2 linked regions of the Drosophila melanogaster genome follow. The protein of the gene in region 1 interacts with the protein of each later gene in a pairwise test. Each region holds a gene or a part of one and is shown on either strand. Other genes may lie near its edges.

What was found.
Region 2: the proteins of f (region 1) and Sema2a interact in a two-hybrid assay, tested with the Drosophila melanogaster proteins (one large-scale study listed by BioGRID).

What each region holds. Positions count from the first base shown.
Region 1 is NC_004354.4:17,256,128-17,265,926, reverse strand, and holds the start of f (forked), read right to left. Parts: upstream 6,554-9,799; 5' UTR 6,453-6,553; coding exon 5,596-6,452; intron 3,288-5,595; coding exon 2,949-3,287; intron 495-2,948; exon of another isoform or gene 209-494; coding exon of another isoform or gene 147-208; intron 1-146.
Region 2 is NT_033778.4:16,512,280-16,522,160, reverse strand, and holds the start of Sema2a (semaphorin 2a), read right to left. Parts: upstream 6,012-9,881; 5' UTR 5,891-6,011; intron 5,708-5,890; exon of another isoform or gene 5,628-5,707; intron 5,242-5,627; exon of another isoform or gene 5,143-5,241; 5' UTR 4,986-5,142; coding exon 4,820-4,985; intron 1-4,819. UniProt on the Drosophila melanogaster protein: Ligand for transmembrane receptor PlexB. Plays a role in growth cone guidance. Required for both proper adult behavior and survival. Can function as a selective target-derived signal that inhibits the formation of specific synaptic terminal arbors.

The sequences.
Region 1 (9,799 bases):
ATTCCGCACTCAAACACACTGGCAAAAAAAAAGCGTATTGGATTAGCTCGGCATCCTTGGCGTCCCGGTGGCCAATTCGATTTACTCGCTGCCTTGGCCAATCGATTAGTGGCAACTGAATGTTGGCCAAAAGCAGCCGTTGCTACCTTTTCATGGTTGCGGTTGCTGCGGCTGCTGCTGCTGCGGATGTTGCTGCTGGCTTGGGCATTAAGCCAAATGTTGTGGCTACTGTTTGCGGGGTGCAGACGGTGATGGTGATGGTGATGTTGCTTTTGCTTTAGCTGCCTTTGTGCCTTGCAGTTCTTTGGTACACTGAAACTGTTAATTAATTCGCGTTCCGATTCGTTAACTGCATTTGAGATACTTTGAAGCGCGAAATTTTGTCTGCTGTTGCTGCTGCTGCTGCTGCTAGTGCTGCTGCTGATGCTGCTGCTGATGCTGCTTCTGCTGGCTGACCAACGGACAGTCGCGGGGGCGTGGCCGCGCTGATGCATCGAGCTTCACAACGAAACCGCACTAAATGCACCATTGAAATCAAAATTCAAATTCATTCCGTGGCCGCATGTTGCTGCTGCATAACGGTAGCTGGTAAACAGTAACAACTTTAACACCAACTATCACTCTATATATTTGTTTGAAATATATGTGTTGTATTATGCTGCACGAGACCGATACGATATAAGACCCACGAACGAAAGCACCGTTCGCCTCGACTAGCCAAACGCGAATAGCCAGCACCACCGAACGCCAAGCGCCATCGAGTGGCCACCGCGAACCACTGGTGGTGCTGGTGGTGTTGCTCCCTCCACTTCTTCTTTTTCTTCGGCCTGCTCTTCTTTTGGTGACGCAGGGGGCATGACGGGGGCAAATCAGGTAACTCGAGACCGAGCTGTCGCCATACGCATTATTATCAAATGGCCAGTGGAGAGGGCGGATTGACAGTTCAACACAAGTCACCCGGAAGTACATAGGTGCCATTTAATTATGACACCCTAAATAATTTGAAAAAAAATTTGAAATCATCAATTTCTGAAGCCTTTAAAATTAGTGTGCTTTCCAATTAAATTTCTTATTTAGGGAAAGTTTTTTTTTCAATATTATTTACAATAGCATCGGAGCAAGATCATGAGATAATAAATCATACGTAAACAATTCTCTAAAATGTTCAAATTTTTTTGCTTCTTGACATTAAACTAATTTCATTTAAATTTTAACAGAAATTTAAATTTTAAAATTTTATTTTATTCTTTATAAGAAGTCATGAAACTGCCCTCGCCTACTTCTTTGCAGTATTAATACAAGAAGCACCAGCTGTTTGGATCGTGGTGTCTCTGTACGCAAAACTATCAAACGGTTTGTGACGAGGGTCGGTTGAAAAGATTGTAAGATAAATAACATTAGGCCACATTTAAGCCAAATGAATGGCGATGTAATGTAATTAAAATAGAATGGTGATTATAGGAATAATACCTCGTGATAAAATAGTCAGTACTTAATACCCTTTGTTCCTTAGCCTAAATAATTAAATAAAAATACTTTAAAAATCCCTATTATTAACGTTAAAAAGGGACGAGTTATTGTACAATACATTTTATACACAGAGCCGCCCTCGTTCTCATCTCTCGCTCTTTTCTGTGTCGCCATGTCAGTTGTCATGTCAATTGATCTGCCTTGGCGCTTTGTAAATATGAATATAGCTGGGGACGATCGAGGGAGGTGGGGATCAGGCAGTGGCACTGATTCTGACTCCGATTCCGACTGTGATTCTGAGTCCAATTCTGATTCCTTGGCCAGTCAGTCCGGAGTTGCTCCACTTCGTGGCGAGTGAGGAAAACTTGTTGCAACGGTGCTTTGTGCCGCTGTGAGTTTTCCAGTTTGACTCCAATTGAAAATAGCACACGATAGAACCAAACCTGGCCTGGACTCGATGGGATGGCATGGGATCGTAGGCGATTCAGGGGGCCAAGGAGGGCTGAAGATGGAGTGCATCTCGCTTGGCTGGCTCGCCTTGGCCAGTTGGATTCCCATTCCCATTTCCCAATTAAATGAATCAGCTTTGGACGCGTGCTGCTGTTGGAGCACAGGAATTTAGGTGAATCAAACACTGGCCACGGATCGGTAACCCACTTAGCGGATAGATTTTCCAAGATATTCGCCAGGTTTTCCTTGCCTTTTTCCTAGTTTTTCACCACTCGCCTTCATTCTTTCTACTTTGTTGGATGGGCTAATAAGTTTTAATTAGTGCATTTAATGACTACTCCCAGCTTACCAGGTAGATAAATTCTCAAATCGACATCATCGTTGATTCAGTTTATGATAATCAGATCGTTACGAAGGCTTAATACACTTAAATGCTTCCATTTGAATGATTATTACAACTAGGCAAAATGGTGTACATAAATCGAACAATATAATACTTTTAATAATACGTTTGTACGGAATTGATACTTGGAAATCTATATAAACCTGCCAAATATCATTTTCGCTTAAGAAAAGAGTATTCTAAAATATTGATTACCAGTTCTTTAATTTTTTCAAAATATATATACATACATTGGTCGTTTTTCTCTCTTAATCTTGTTTTTAAAGCATTGCTATAATTACCACCATACGTTTCGAAATGGATTTTATAACCAAGTCCAAATTTAGTTAGATTTCCACAGCCACTAATTCACTTGTTTCAGCTCTTATACTAATCGAATCAGATAAGAAACCCCTAATGAGAATAATTGTCGCAAGTAAATGGAAAGAAACCGCATCGAATGGAAATGCAGACAGATGGGGGAAAAATAAAACACAAAGTGGAGCCATCGATCGTCGAGCGATTTCCCCGACACATAAAAACAATGAACGGCTGGTGCAAGAGCTTTCACCCCGCACTCAAATCGCGATGCAACTTTTGGTCATCATATACTATACTCCTTTGGGACAGTAACTCATCTACTTACCAAATATCCACGGATGCGGCGACCAGCAGTTGGACACAATCAAGGCAACCACGTGCGGCAGCATAGTGAAGGGCCAGAGCTCCTCCGTTGGGTCTTTCGCTGCCGGAAACGCTCCCCGGATGGTACATCTGGCCAACTTGGCCCATGCCGCCCAGATTCATCATACTGCCCACTCCGCCCAGGTAGGAATCCAGCTGGTGGGAGTGCATCCTTGTGCTCGGATTGATGCTGCTGCTGTGGCTTTGGTTGCTGTGGAGGAGCTTGTTGCTGTGCAGATTGTTTAGTTTGGTGTTGTGGCTTAGGTGCAGATTCGAATTGAGCGCATAATCGTTTATGGTTCTGCAGGATGGAAAGGAATAAGGAATAGAATAATTAACAATTTGTAAGAAAGTAGCTTAATGACTTATTAGCCAAATTATGTAGAGCAGAATGGTTCGTAAGGAACACAACCCTGCACAAAGACCTCAAACTAGCAACGGTATTTGACGAGATAAACCAGCACTCGAGCAGATACCATGACAGGCTGGAGCGCGACAGAAATCGGCTGGCCAGCGCTCTTAACAGATCTCGCCCACCAAGGAGGCTCAATAGAAGGCAACCGAGGGATCTCATTTCCCGATCTCCTTTGACAAGGGTCAGCAGAGAAAAAATATTGCATACTTTTCAGCTTGCTTTGTATCTCCAATTGCAGTCTACTTTTCTGCACCCCAAACAAATGACTTAAGACACAAACTTACACACTAAGCTAAGGACTTAAGACACGAACTTGCCAAGAAAGTGCAACACAATTTTAAAACTAAATATTTAATATATTATTGAAATTCATTTAACGCCTTCCTTTTTACTAATATCTAGGAACACTAAATAATATATAAGTTTACCTTTGTTGCGAAGCAAATTAGTTACAAATTTCCTTAAAATTCACTTTTATTTCATTTTTCTCTTTACTAATAGCTAATTGTTTTTTTTTTACTCTTGTTGCAAATCTAGTAGCATGTTCAATATAGCCCACGAAAATTGCTCATTGTTATTAAATTGTTTGCTTGACAGCCATTTAGGCACAACTTTTAATTAATTAATTGGCCGGGGGAAGTGATGGTTATTAATTTTGATGGCATCTTTGTGCGCATCTTGGGCTGCACTTGGATTCACTGAGTGCCCTTTTCCGAATCACTAAACCAGGTCAAGTCTGCTGCTGACTCACCTGATTGCCGTTTCCGCGGCACAAATAAACAATAACAATCATAATAATAATGCTAAGAGAAACAATACACACGGCGACACATTAATTGAAAGCTGAGAAGCAGCGCCGCCAGCATTAAAATGCGAAAATACCGGGCATTTGTGGATGGATCTCGTTTGTCTTTGCTCGTTTGTCGCTGCTTTCCTCTTGTGGCAACAAAAAGAAACAGAAAGCCGCGAAGACGACACTTTCTTCCAGTTTATTGCATCAACGCTGGCATCGCCGAACACACCAAATGGCAAATGGAAAATGGAAGCGGGCCGGTAGCAGGTGTCAACAAAACAGGGCAGGTGCCACCGAGCCCATGAAACCCACGAAAACCACAAAGCCAACATAGCCAACAAAGCTAACAATCCGACAAAACTCACAAACATTTAGCTGAGAAAGAAAAAAGTGAAATAAGCTATTTGGCAATAGCATTGCAGGCCAGTTGGTCAACTGAAGTGGCAAAGGGGGTTAAGAAAATTATGATCTTTAAGGGTGTTAAGAGGTGCCCTCTGTTTTTTGGCTTCATTTGATCGCTGGCTCGTGATATAACTCAAGTAAACAGAAAGTAAATACTTATTTTAAAGGTGAAACAACTAAATTTTACATTTCCAATTGGCTGTTCGCATTAGACTTATTGATTCGTGCAGCTATTTAAAAAATGTATTTGCTCAATACTCCTATATACAAAATATTTTTGGCTAAGATACTAATGAGCATGGCAAACGCATCCATGCGGTTAATACTGTAATTCAAAAAGCAAAATTATAAACCTTTCAAGGCAAGCTGCTTTAAGTGAGTATTAAACAATACAAATAGTTTAATAATCTACAGACTTTAGAGTTTGTTTCTATTAACCTTTCGTTCATAGCATCAAAACAAAAACATAAATAGTTAAGTAAATATGTATGGGAGAGGAAGGGGATGGTCAAAGTTCGGAAAAAGTGAAAGAACAGAGAACGGAAGAAAATAATCATTTAAGAAATTATACTCATGAAGATCTGTGGGTTTTTATGAAATGGGAAAGCCGGAGAGTTTGTGGGAAATTTGCAAGCTGCTTTCGATCCAAAAGTTCGCACATAATCCGATGGGTAAAAACTATAAATTATATACCCATCCCGGATTTTGTCGTGGCAACAGACTCATTAAATAATAATACGAGTTTCCAAAGATTTTTTAAAGGTTGCACTGATATCAAATATTTCGGGTAGCACTTAAAAAAATATAGCACTAAATATAGAACCATAGTCAATAAATTGATATTTCTTGCACTCCCATATTATTGTAGAATTTGCACTTGTTTGTAGTCTTTATCGACATATTACTGTAACTAATTGATTTTGGCGCTCGTCTATTTTTGCAGCTAATTTGTGTTCTGGTTTGCCGTTTTTGTTTATTTTTTCTAGCGATTTCTTTTACCTCAATTTGATGGCAATATCGCGGCACTTGACGCATGGCACCTGGCCGGATTCCTTGTCGGGCACTGCTGCACTGCCTCCTTTTTCCGCTGGAGCTATTGTGGCATATTGGGCCTCCTCCTTTTCCGGCTGCTCATCTGCCTTCTCATCCGCCTCCGTTTCGCTTGCGAAATCCACCACCAACTCTTCGTTGGATTCCCGGTTGGATGTAACCACTTGCCTCTTGCTAAAATAGCCCACATGTTGGTCCACTCCCGCATTGGCATCCAGCAGGATGCGCTCGTAGGCGGCGCTCTCGTTTTCCGAGAGGGCAAAGCGCTGCTCGAAAACCCGCACGGGCAGCGAACTTTTCCTTAGCACCTCCATCCGCTTGTGCCGCAGCTCGATGGAGAAGATCAAGCGGACGCGCACCAATCGCCGGAGACCCTGATGCGTTGACCTGGCGCGCTGTAACCTCCTGCGCTGCTGTCTCAGCTCCAATTTCTCCAGACCCTTCAGCGATTTGGGATCGACCAGACCGTGATTGTAATCCTCCACTGCTGTCAAATCCAAAGCGGATCGCGTGCGACGCCAGGGCACCAAGTCGAAGTGAGCACCCGCCCAGGGATGGAAGTTCACCTGGCTGACGTTGGTGCTGCGATCCTGCTTGAGGATCCAATCCGATTGCTGCTCCTTGGTCACACGAACGTGATCATTCCGTGCCGCTGCCTGCGGCTTGTGGCGTTTATATCGCGGCACCAGTGTCGCCTCCAACATCCGAGCATCCAGACCGTAATCGCGACGCAGCTGCTCCAGCTCCCTGCTGCTGGCCGTAAACTGAGCACCGTTCCACACGATCACCGGCGCACAACTGGCCATTGGATTCGTTTCGTGGCTTGTTCCTCTTCTGGTTTTGGTTCTATATACGTATTTGTACGTTCGTTCCCACCCCGAAAATTCGTTCCCCCAAATTCCCGAACTAGTTGACTTTATGTCACTGATTGCGTTCTGTTTCTGATTTTCTGAAAACCCGCTCGTTTTCCGGTTTCCGCTCGGCAATGTCGCGTTTGTCGCGTCCGCGCTCCGTGACGCCGGCGACGCAAATGTTCGCTGGCCAAAAAAGATACAACTTCAAAATCCGCAGTCGGATTCCTATGCAAAAACGTTGCGCCAGCTGCGCTGCCAGCCAAACGCCACTCATGATTAAGAGTTTTCTGTTGCTGCTCTTCTCTGTTATTGTTATTGTTATTGTTGATGTAAATGTTTTTGTTATTGTAATTGTGATTATGGGCTGTTTTGTTGGAGCTGCTGGTGTTGTTGGTGCCGCTTTGTTTGCCGATATGCCACTGCTGCCGCAGCTACACGCAGCTACAAATATTGCAAATGCCCATTTAATATCTACTTAAATTTTTTTTTATTAATTTTAACACACTTAACTATAATGAATACTCTTAATAATAGTAATAATTGTAATTTTGCAAATAAAAAAAAATTAAATACAATATTTACAATCTAAATGACCATATTTTTCAAAACAAAATGAAAACAAATTTACTTTTAAAAAACATTTTACCTTTTTAAATAGGAACTTGAGTGACTTCTGCGTCATTTAATACCTATTTCTTTAGTTATTTATTTCAAGTGTGACAGGATCGACAACTTGTAAAACTGTTCAATTATTCACTAACGGTCTACTTCTAAAACTTAGATTTATTGTATGACTTTACTGCTTTTTATTTGCAAGTTTATTTTCGTATTTAAACATTTTAATTTTTATCTTACTTTTCACTCATTTTAAATCACTTTCTAGCAGGTTCGGACTGAAGCTATTAAAGGTGATTTACATCCACTTTGCCCGGACTCAGGCTAGCATTTTCTCTCTGTGCACGTTCAACGTTTGCTCAATATTGAAGAGTCGCGGGCTTAGCTGCCCCTCTGATTGTATTATTTATTTATTTTTCACGCTCACTGCCATGTCAACTCTGCTCTGGGGCAACCCTCTGACGGCGTCGACGTCGACGTCGCTTCACTCGGCTGAGCACGCGTCAGCAACAACAGAAACAACAACACTGGCATGCATAGTAATATTAACTAAAGCCCATAGTTGTTGGTATTATCACCGCTGTTGCTGGCCATTCTGCAATTCGAGTTCACAATTCTATTCTCGGCTAATTGACGGCATCGGGCCATTGGCATTGTATTGGCCAAATTAACCAACAATTGCGACAGTGAAATAGGCCCTTTTATAGTCCACATATATAGTACAAATATAGGTTCATAAAACAATACTTGAAACGAATTAATCATATCTCTTAACTATAATTTCACGTTGATCTATTGGAAAATATTTTTATTATTTATCTGTTCATGAATTGTTGAAGATGTTATAATATATTTTATCCTATAACTATAAAAAGAATTATTTAAAATTACGTTTGTAAATATTTTAAATATGTAAATATTTTTTGTAAAACATATTTGTTATAGTACATAATAGTCTTTATAATTATTTCAGCTACTTAAGGCCAATTTCATCATCGTTTTCCATTTGCCTTGATCGAAGTTTAGCTAATTTCTATAGAAAATATGCAATTAAGTTGCAAAATATCCGCCTAGTGTTTATAGTTCTCATTGCCTTCTAAATCATTTGCCACACGAAGTGCCTATTGTACTCGAGGCATGCCAAATATCAATTATGCTATATACTTTATAGTATGTAACTATATAGAGTTTGTGCCCCTAGAACGGGCTCAACTCAGGCGTGGCGAATGTAAATGAATTGGGGCTGGCTTGCAGCTTCTTGAGTGGCAATTGAGCAACTCCACCTGCGCGCTTTTCCTCCGTACTTTTCCACCCGGCTTTTCCAGCTGTGTGACTCATGAAAAGCGTGTGCAGATGGCGTAAAGAGTTGCCTCGATTTCTGGTTCAATGGCGCTCAGGCTGCGGGTGTCATACGAATATTACGTGACATTCAGCTGCTGAAAAATTAAAAACTTGTAGTTAAAGTGCTTAGCCTCAACCTCGAACTCAAACTCTGCGTAATATCTTTCCCTCTGGGCCATGTGACCCAAAAAGAGCAATGAAAATGAAAACGCCAGAGATGAGAGCCATTAGGTGGCTTAGAAAGGCCGCCATTGAGTCGTAGTTATAATGCAAATATAACAGAGCACATTATAATGGAGGTCCATCCATACCATCCATCCGCATTTCACGTATTTGTCGCTTGCCATTCAAATTCAAATTCACATCTGGCCGAAGGCTGTCCAAATCGCATCCATTCAGTCCATCAAAGTGATGTGACATACATCCCAAGTCATATCGATAATATATTTATTGTATTTACATTGCCTGTGGGCATTCGGCGCTAAAATTGCGCAACGAGTGTGTATTTCGATATGTGTTTTAATTTGTAATTACCATAAATATAATAAAGCCAGAACCGTTATAATTTGTTTGCTGTAAATCTATCTCTATAGAAATTGTTAAGATTTCGCTAATCTCCAGAGGAAATTAAATAATATTGTTTTACAGATTTCTCCCAGGACAAAAGATTACATTATTATATTACACTATAATTTAAGCAGATGTAAAAGTCACACATCTAACAGGAAGTACTTATTCATAGCTTATTGTCCTAAAATCAAAAGAAGTCCTTGAAAATATTTCCTAAGAAAATTTCTATTTAATGTACTATTAATTTTTCTGACCCACTCTTAGCTTTTTTTTAACGGCTGGTGGACTATTAATCTGCGAAGTATTCGAAGTACGAAAATTAACAATTTGAAAACAGCTGAAATCATCAGCCAACAAATGCTTCAGTGATTTTGAAGGGTAAAGCCATAAAAAGGAAAATAATTTCTTTTGGGCGCGCTGGAAAACAGTTTGTTCGGTGGGTAACTGTGTGCCCCACTCGGCGGATAGGAAATAAACATAAAACATTAAGCAGCACCACTCGCAGCAACAAAAAAATTTTAATAGCACTGTGGTGGGGCAATAAAAACGAAAGAAGAAAATAAAACTGCTATACGGATTTACGAATATTTGGGTAATTGCGCAATACGGAAAATCGGGGGAATACATAAAAACTGGGTTAATTTTAAATGAATTTGACTTAATTTAAAATAAATATATACAATACATTTCAAGTTATATATATTTTATATTATAACAATTATATACAAATATTTGTAGACTTATGGTGCTTAGATTTCATTTACTTCCGATAT
Region 2 (9,881 bases), on another chromosome or scaffold:
TCAGCACTGTAAGCCGTCTGAAATGCCCCCGGGGCATCGGGATGCAGCTTTAATTCCACATTGCAGCCATGAATGAAATGCAGGGATGCTTTAGACTGTAGAGGAAGTTTTTTGGGGGGGTGAAGAGTTGTGCAAAACATTTTCAACTCAATTTAGTTCATTTTATGGCAGCAGCAATGCGCTGCGCAAGTTCATTTTGTTGCAAAATAGCGAAATGCAAAAAAAAAAAAAAAAAACGAAGAGCGCACTCATAAAAAAGCATCAAAAGAGCAGTCAAAACAGCACTAGACATCCCAGTATCCCAGCATCCCAGCATCCGAGTATCCTAGTTATATGGCCTGGACATCGCCCAAAAGCTGCCAACAAAAACGCAACAAAATGCGGATGCGGTAACTGTTTCCATTTTTGGTTAAAAACGAGGTGGTAGCAGAGGTAGGTATTTCCACAGTGCAACTTCATTTGATGGCTCATGTGTGAGTGCGCCACATAAACGCTTCAAATAGTTTTAAAACCCACACTTTTTATACCCTTGTACAGGATATATACATATACAACTGAAGTTTAATGAGCGAAAAAATGTGGGCAGGTAAAAGAAAACAAATGAATATTAGAGTGGATAGTTGAAAAAATTATCGTAATCAAACACCAAGCCGTATTTATTGAAAATATCAGCCATTTCAATTTTTTAACCAAATATAAAAAAGTTTGAATTTCATAAAAGAAATTTGAATGATGTGATTATATATCCTGTATTATTTAAGTGTACAATTACGTATGAGTATTTACAGCTCTATTACCCTCAGCCCTTTTTACCCAGATGGTATTCATTTATTTTTATTTTTTTTTGCTAGTTTTGGCCACCTTTATGGGAAAATTGCCCAGCAACTAAAACATTCTGCGGCTCGCTTAATTTTCCATGAATTCACAGAGTCCAGCTGCACGTCTTGTTGCCACTTAAGTGCGCACAAAGCCGCAAGTTCCTTGCCATATGCAACATATTTTGGCCAGACAAAAGGGAAGGCAAATTTTGGTCTTTAGCATGCTTAGCCTGAGTCAATTAGGCTAGCACAAATACGAACTAGCTCACACATGTACATACATACATAGATATGCAACGGCGAGCAGTCAGGCAATGAATGAAAATTTAATTAAATTTCACCTTAAAATGATGGGCAAATTGAAATTAACGTTAAGCGAGTTGTTTGCATCAATTTAAGGTGATTGAATTATGGCAAACGACAAAATCTGTGGCCTAACTGCATTTGCAGTTGATTGATTGCATTTGGCCCGTTGCCTGTGCTAATTGCTTTTGCAACATTTTGCGACACTTAGCTATCGGTTTTCCGTTTTTCCTTTTCCCGCTTTTCCCCTGTTTTTACTTCTCTATCTCTCTGTTCTCGGCGTTTTTCCATCACCCTGCGAGCGATAAGCGGACTTCCTCAGCTGTAATCAGCAACGCCTACATTAAGTGGGTTCTATCAATCGGATGTTACATAACTATGCACATATTTGCCAAAGCACTGCGACAAAAAATGGCAATTTCTAGTTGGATTTTTCATTGATTTGGGGTGCGTGGAAAAGTTACTTATTCAGCTTAACTTAAAAACCCCTGAAAACACCCCCTAGTTACTCAAAAAATAGCACTACTTGCACTTCTCGCACCTAACATTAAATATTAATAATTAGAGTCGAAAGTTTTTATTTCAGTCACTATTTCGAGAATGCCCCTTTCTCCAAGTGGACTTGGCAAACTTGTCCAAGGCGAAACGTGATTTTCCTTCCGTTCGTTCGCTGGCCAACTAAAACTTGGCCAAAAGGGTCCGCTTTAAACACACTTTTAATGATGTTGCCGCCGCCGCTTGTAGCTTCGCAGGGAAGCAATATTAAGCCCCACTTGCAACTGGAGGTGTCGGGAACGGCACTGCACTGCACAGCACTGCACTGTATTGCATTGAAATTCAATTTCGCGGCAAAGTTTCCATTGTGAGCAGCTCCACGTTGCTCCGTGCTGACATGCTTTGGGTGGTTCCCCAGTGCTTGACTAGAATCCCGGCTCAAAGCCAGGTAAATCCCCACCCAACAACCCAACAACCCAACAGCCAGCCATCCGCCCGGCTCAACAGGAAAGGGGTGGTCTCCATTCGACCCGCTATGTGAACAGCTTTTGACATTGCCGTCATGATGAAGTGGAACGCACAGCTGAAGCCCCACCCCAGCTACTGGCTCTAAAAATACAAAAAAAAAAATAAACCCAGAAGAAGGAAATATAAAAGCCGGGGGCAAGAACTCGGCTATCCCTTTATCGCTTTTGTCGTTTTAATGGGTCAGCAGTGTGTGCCTATACAGTTTGACAAAGACCACGAGCGAGTGCGAAGCTCTTAAAGCTGTTGCATTTGGCCAGAAATCAGACAACGCGGAAGCCATTAATCCCAAGCTTCATCCACCATTTGTGGCAATAAAAACTATATACCAAGAGAGTTGAAAATAAATAAGAAATGACTGCTATAATTCTAAACTGTCTCACTTGGCCATGTTGCGTTGCTCAGTTTTATTTGCTGCACTTTTTGCTAGATGAAGTTTAGAGCAAATGAGTTCATTACTCCTCTGGCTTTGCAAATTTGATATGTATGTGTTTTAAGCTTATAGAAAACCATTTAACGTATTGGTATGCTTAAGAGTTTCCAGTATCTACAAGCTTGTAAGCACTATATTAGTTAGTTAGTTGGATGTAAATGCATTAAATACCATTAAGTGCTATGGATTGTGTGAATCTATTAGTTAGTTTCTATTTTTCCTTCCTTTTTTTATGACTACAGAAACAATTCAACCTTTGGCTACCTGCCGGTCAAAAAATGAGTCAATAATCAGGGGTTTGGCCTTAATAATGAAGTCGCAGCACCTTGTGCGTGTATCTTTGTATCTTTTGTGAGAGAAAACAAAGGGGAAGAGCTATCCGGCAGATAAAAATAGAATTTTAGGGTACAGAGTGGTGGAAACATCTGTCAAACCGCTGAGTCAACCAATTGAAGTGGCCGAGGTGGCGACAGAGGACGTTGCGGCCGCATTGGTACTCACAAATGCCATAGAGAGGCATAAATTTTGTACTACCCTAAAATAAAGTGCAATTAATTTCATTTAAATCAATGAAAATAGTGCTTTTTCATTTACAGACGGGTAAAAGAAGAAGAAGATAAAAAAAAACATGCAATAAATATTCCGCATCAACGGGGGAATTTATAGTTGACATTTTAGAGTTTTGTTGTTATTCAGTTCGGTGGCTTTTGTGGTTTAGTTGGTTTTACCTTAATTTATGGCCCGCCGATCGGTTTATATAGTGCATCTGGTGCAAATGTCCAACCTTCGAACTTTGTAGCTCCTTCTGCATGCATTTCGGACTTATCCCATATAGATTTTGCTATATAACTCCCGGAAAAGTATGCGCAAGCAGCTTGAACGATTCCCTAATCGTCTCACGTTTTCCTTTAGGGCAAGTGCTTAGCTATTGAGTTTACAGCGCAACATGCGGCAAGGACCAAAAAGTTGTTGTCGGCACGTGAAGTTTTATGCTGCACTTATGGCTTATAGTTAAAGATATAGTGGAGACAAGGGGGACGGCATGCCAGGCATTCCGGAACGTGGACTATTAGAAAATGTTTACTGGTCTTGACCCGGATTGCTGTTGTTGTTGTTGTTGTTTGGCCAGCCTGGCTAAATGAGATTTAAATTTTTTATACAACATTTTCTGCGTTCTTGATACTTGATGGCTTTTTGCTGTTCTCTAGCCACATTCAATGTATGCTGGGGAACTTTTCAATCAACCGCACGATGATAAATGAATGCTGGCCAAAATTATTGGCAAAATCCAACATGGCTTAGACATAGAGAAGTGAATAACCTGTTTGTGGCCGCTCGTAGATGAATTTTAAATACTTTTAGGCTTTAATGACTCAATAAAGCTGGCCAAGTCTACGAAACAGAGGGCTTGTAAAAAAATACAGCGGAAAATCTAGGTAGATTGAACATTTAAATGGTAAAGCATTCACATTTTTCTAGAGTGGTAGGGGAGGGGGGGATTAAGGGAACCCAGTCAATTATATATCATTCAGGATTTATCTCTGTGGATTATAGGACTGCATATGGTTAAAATATGATTACATTATTGGTATTTGTTTAAACATGAAATATGCATATGAATAGCAACAATTCACAATTGCGCGGACCAGCAATATTCACTATGAATGCACCGCATTAATATGCAAATTATAAAAAACAACAACAATCACAATGCTCCGAGCCAGAAATGGAAAATGGCCCAAACCGAAACGAAAAAATATAGTTGCAATTGAAATCGAACCAAACGAGATAAATAATAAAGGCACAAAGAACATGTGCGAATATTATGGCAAATAAATTACAAATTTGTTGTTGCCTGAAAGATTGAAAAATAATATTGGCCGCAGTTAAAAAAGGGGAAAAAGCTGTCTTATTCGTGTAAGCCGACGATTTAAGTACCCTGTACAAAATATAAGTAATGCGAAACAATTTTAATTCATTTTTTTCATACATACTTAAGTTATGATCAAGTTGTAAAATAGCGTTTTAAATAATGTTTTCATTCTTAAGTTTTAAGTGTAACGAACATTAACATACATTTCACATAGTTTTTACGAAGAAATGTGAACTAGTAAAAGATTTTGTTAACATTTTTTTTAATTTTTAAAGCCCCTCGAAAAAAGGGCACAAAAAGTGAAAATTTATTTTACAAGTGTGTTTTAATCCGTGTTCCCGCCCCTTTTTATACCGTTAGTTGGCTAGTTACCTGCGCCGTGTTTCCCGTAATTGTTGTTCCCCTGATCGTTTCCAGTGCAACAGGGACGCTCGTAGTAGAAGTTCCAGGTGTTCTCGTAGTCCGCAGCTGTCTCGCTCACACTACTGCAGAGGAGTAGCAGGAGTGCGAGGAGCGGCGATAGCTGTAGAAGCGACATTGCGAGGGCGGTGCGAGCGAGAGGGGTGGTCGACCGGGGGCCGAATGCGACCCCACCAACCTCAATTGGATTAAAGTGCAAGAGCGAGCGAGAGGCGGTTGCTTGTTGATTTTACCGTTTGATGAATAAAAACCGGCACGTTTTTTCCCACGAATAACTGTTAACACATTTAACTTGTATTATTTTTACACACTTTTGCGGCAATTGCAATGGAATTGATTTCACTGGCAAATGGATTTTAAAATAAACTTCTTTCCTTGGGCGATTTATAGCACCCCTCTGCTATTTTTTTCTCCTTATATATATATGTTTTTTTTTTGGACCCGCAGTCGTAGTGCCAATTTCGTTTCGGATTAATTATGTATGCGTTGCAGGCGCATAAAGGCGTAATGCATTTTACACAGTTCTGTGTTCAATTCGGTTTTCAATTCGATTTCAACGCATTTAGCCATCGGAAAGCATGTGCGATATGAAGATAAAGGCAAAAGGAAACGTTAAACTGGTTTATTATATGCCCACGCATCGGAAAAACAAAAAAAAAAGCAACAATATTGGGAAACAATGAAAATTCCTCAACGCTGGAGAGTGGGAAAGAGACAAGGAAGGTGAACGAGCGCGTTTCTTAAAGTTTATACTATTTACAAGGCACTGCATCAATAAATAAATGATGAATCTGCAAATATTTCCTTGCTTTCAGTTTAAAATTTGCCTTTAACCCACACGCACACAAACTTGCTCACGCACTCACACACACACACATACGCAACAACAAAGCCAGAGATACACACTTGAGTTGTTGTTGGGAGTTTCGGTTTATTGGAATTTCGAAAATCGAACTCCGAATTGAATGAACTGCAAAACGCCAATTAGATAGTTGCAAGCCTAATGCATTTCAGATATTTTACCGATGCGAAACAAGTTCCGCCACGAAAGGGAACACTGGTAAAATGCCCAAGAATCTCGAGCGGAAACACCAAACACAAAAGAACAACCGACAACAAGTAGAAGTGAGAAAACAACAACAACGCACGATCGCTCCGATCGCGCAGATGTGAGAAAAACGCTAGCGCGTTTAAGTCGAATGACTATCGCAGTCACGCGTTTGGGTTTTTGGTATATACCAACAATGGTGATCGTGTTTGAAAATAATATTTAAAATATATATAATTTGCATAACTTTTTCTCTTTATATCAGAAGTTTTAGATTTTATTTTGGCTAACTTTGAAATATGCTTTCTTATTTTTGTCTGTTTACAATGCGCTTGCTTTTTAAGTTAGTTAATATATAATATAATATTTTCTTTGACGTATTCAAGCCGATTTTAACTATTTCTTAAATTATTCTTAAGAAAAGGTAAAAACTGTTGACACAAAACTTTGTTTAATATTCGTGGAGCGTCGTGGATTTTCATTTGTCGATATAATCCTTGCTCCTTGCCACAAAATGCCGTTGCAGAATGGCGGTATTCAATTTTCGTACTTCACCGTGCGGAAGCGGCAAAGTGATTTTTAGCAAGGACAACAAGGACAACGACAATTTTGGCAATAGGCAAACATTTGCCAACCCAGACACACACAAAACGGGCGGCAGGATGGATGGATGGATGGCAGGTATGCAGACGAATCCTTGCATTTAGCAGCCTCGAGCGGCAATTAAACGCAGTTTGCTAGTGTCTCTGGCATTTGAGTGTCTGCTTGGCAAAATATTTAATTAAAAAGCAAGTCGGTTATGTTTTCGCATCTCCTTGATATTTTCTATTGTACGGGTGCCACCTGTGCGTGCTTTCGTTTCCATCAGTGGCGTAGGGGCTGTAGTTTATTCAATTATTCAGCTGAGATGTTAATGATGATTGTTTGAGGCACTGATCAGCTCAGGTGGTACGTGACCATCAAAGAAAAAAAAGGTAAGAAACTTATAATATAGTGCAAACGTTTCCAACTAAAATTTAATAATTTTGATCGCAATCATTGGCTAACCCCCACAAGAAATCCTTGCGCACGCCACTGGTTGATTGTGTCTGCCTGGCCTTTTCTCTCTGTTTGCCTGCTAATGAGTTTTCGCAGAATCACCACACTAGTCGTCCCCCTCGCACCCGACCGTGCGACCAAAGGAGCACTTGCATCATGATACTGTTGAAAATTTTTGACACATGTTCACTCACTCTATCCCTCTATTTCATTGCCTCTCCCTCTCTCACACTCACTCTCGTTCTAGCCCGCATTGTTGTTGCCGCTTTGTAGTTGCTTTGATGTTGGTTGCCATTTTTGGGTTTTTTTCCCTTTTTCGGGGGATAGCCTTTCAAGTGCAGCAGCGACAACGTCGCCATTGTCATTTGTTTTCGCAAACGTTTCTTTCACACAATGTCAACTTTCAACAAAGGACTTTAATTAAGTCCTTAATGACAGCTTAATTTAGCGCACTTTGCACAGCGCGTATGCCCCAACACGTACACAAACAAAGGCACAACGCACTCACACGTAGCACATACTCGCACACGTATGTATGTGTGGGAAAAAGATGGGATGTGTTTTGTTTAGTTCTTTCGCTTTCTTCATCTCGGAATCCTTTAGTTGCGGTCAATTAAATAATAATTTCAAATCTAAAAAGTACACGTCATTCCATAAGAAGTCATGCAACAATTTAAGGGACGAAAAGAGAAATTCAAGTAAAATGAAATAGTTGCCAATCAACCACCCTTCATATAAACATAAAAACTAGCATTCGTTTTGCTTATTATTTTGTGATGCAATTTATTACTTAATAAATTGGGAGAGAGCCTAAATAGCATTTTGATTGTGCCAAATAATACATGGAACTTGTCTCGCCAAACATTGTTGGTCGCTCAACTTGTCAGCGGCCGGCAACTTTCATGCATTATATAAAAAGTTGGCCAAATAACCAGCAGCGAACCACACCAACACACTGACAGACACACACACGCACACACATACACAGCTTGAGAAAGCGATAAAAACCATTTGTTGTGAATGTCCTGTTTTGTTATTTGTTGTTCTGCTGCTTGTCCTTTGTTGTGTTGTTGTCGTCCCAAGTTGGCTTACTCAAGATACTTACAAAGATTTCAATGCACTTTCTTCCTACCAACTTGTTCGCGCAGAAAGCCAAAAAGCCAAAAGAAAAATAAAAACTGGACTGACCAACAAGAGCAGCAACAACAACTGCAGTGAAATAAGCCTATAGAAGATTTGGCTCAACTGAAATTATAAAACATTTAAAACGCAAGGATATAGCTTTATTTTCGGCTAAAAATTATATTTTTCCGTGCTTGGGACTTCTGTACTTGGTTTTATAAATCTAATGAATATGCTCATATGTCCTAAAAAATAGAACCAATTCACAGATATATTTACAGCTAAGAACTTTATTTTGTTTTTAGCATTGAGATACTCCTTTTATTAACTTTCCAAGTTGTTGCATCTATCAAGGTGCTCTTGTCAAAAAAGCAAACAGATTCCTGTTACCGTGTGTTGACTGTACAAAGGCAGCGGCATCGGCGACGAACAAGAACAAGAACGATTTGACTTCTGGAAACTGTCAGAGCAAGCAAATGGCACTAAATATTAAGTTTGCCGTTGGAACTTGACCAGAAAAAGTAAACTACGAGGAAAACTTGGCCGGCCAGAACTAATGAAAGCTTTCTGCAAGTGTGAGGCGTGATGGTGTGCGTGTGTGTGTGTATGTGTGTGGGCTAAAAGTTTTTGCCTTTTGGCTCGACCACAGAATTTCTCATGAGTTGGCGCTGCGGCTGCGGCTGCACTTGTTTCAAGTTCAATTAATTTTAAGTGCGGCAGCAATTGTGTTGCACATTGTTGTGCCTCCACTCGTTTGTTTACAACGACTCTGCACTCGGTGTGTTTTTTGTGCCTTTGGGCCAAGCTCTGCAGTTTTTTTTTGCCTTTTTACGCCATTCGGATTCAACTTTGGCCTGACATGCAATGTCAGCGCCTGTGTTTATGCTATAAATAATGCAGCATATTTTGCATAATGACAAGTTATCGCACACAAAACATAATTGCATGTATTTGTATTGCAGACATTATGACGTCACCTTAACGATGGCGGACAAGCTTTTCCTTTTACCCCTCTTGAGCTCAAATGTATCTACAAGTCGCAGACTTTGTATCTTTGAGATGCTTGAGACCTACGGTAAGTCAGAACTTGGAAGTAGCGATAAGGCGTATCAAACATTTATAATTCATAATATATATATTGAAGTAATATATATTGAAATAATACATATATGTTGAAACAATGTTTTCAAAAAATTCTGCTGCAGCATAGATGGTTCTTAAACAAGCACTATAATGCGACCACGATTAGATTGACTGAACTTAAGCGTAGATCCCACAGATCAGATCACCTACCTTCGAAGTGGGTGACGCAGAAGTCAGCCGGAATTTTCCGGGATTAGTGTCACATCAAACAGACAGATTGCGGCAAAATGCAGCAACAAAAGTTGCAGAACAAGTGCAGAAAGAGCCAGATAAACAAATCTTGTCTAGCCGTAGAGGGCGTGAGTATGGGGCATATGGGCGGTACCAGTGGCGGTAGCAGTACCAGGATGGAGGACAACGACGAGGATAAGAGCCAGAGACAGAGACAGAGACAGAGACAGACTTCAGACTAGTCAGGAAGTTGGCTTGGCAGCTTCAGAGTTCTAACTCGTCGGCAAACAAAACTTGCCGGCAGTTTTTGCTCCTCCGCACTCCTTTTTGTCTCCCTTCCATGTGCATAATTAAAAAAGCATTTTGGTCGCCAGCGAGACGGGGTTCAACTACTTTCGGATTTATATTGTGTCACTCAATGCGACTGCAAAGTACGACTGCGAAATGCGAATGCGAATACGAATGCAAATGCGAATGCAGCAGACGGTGCAG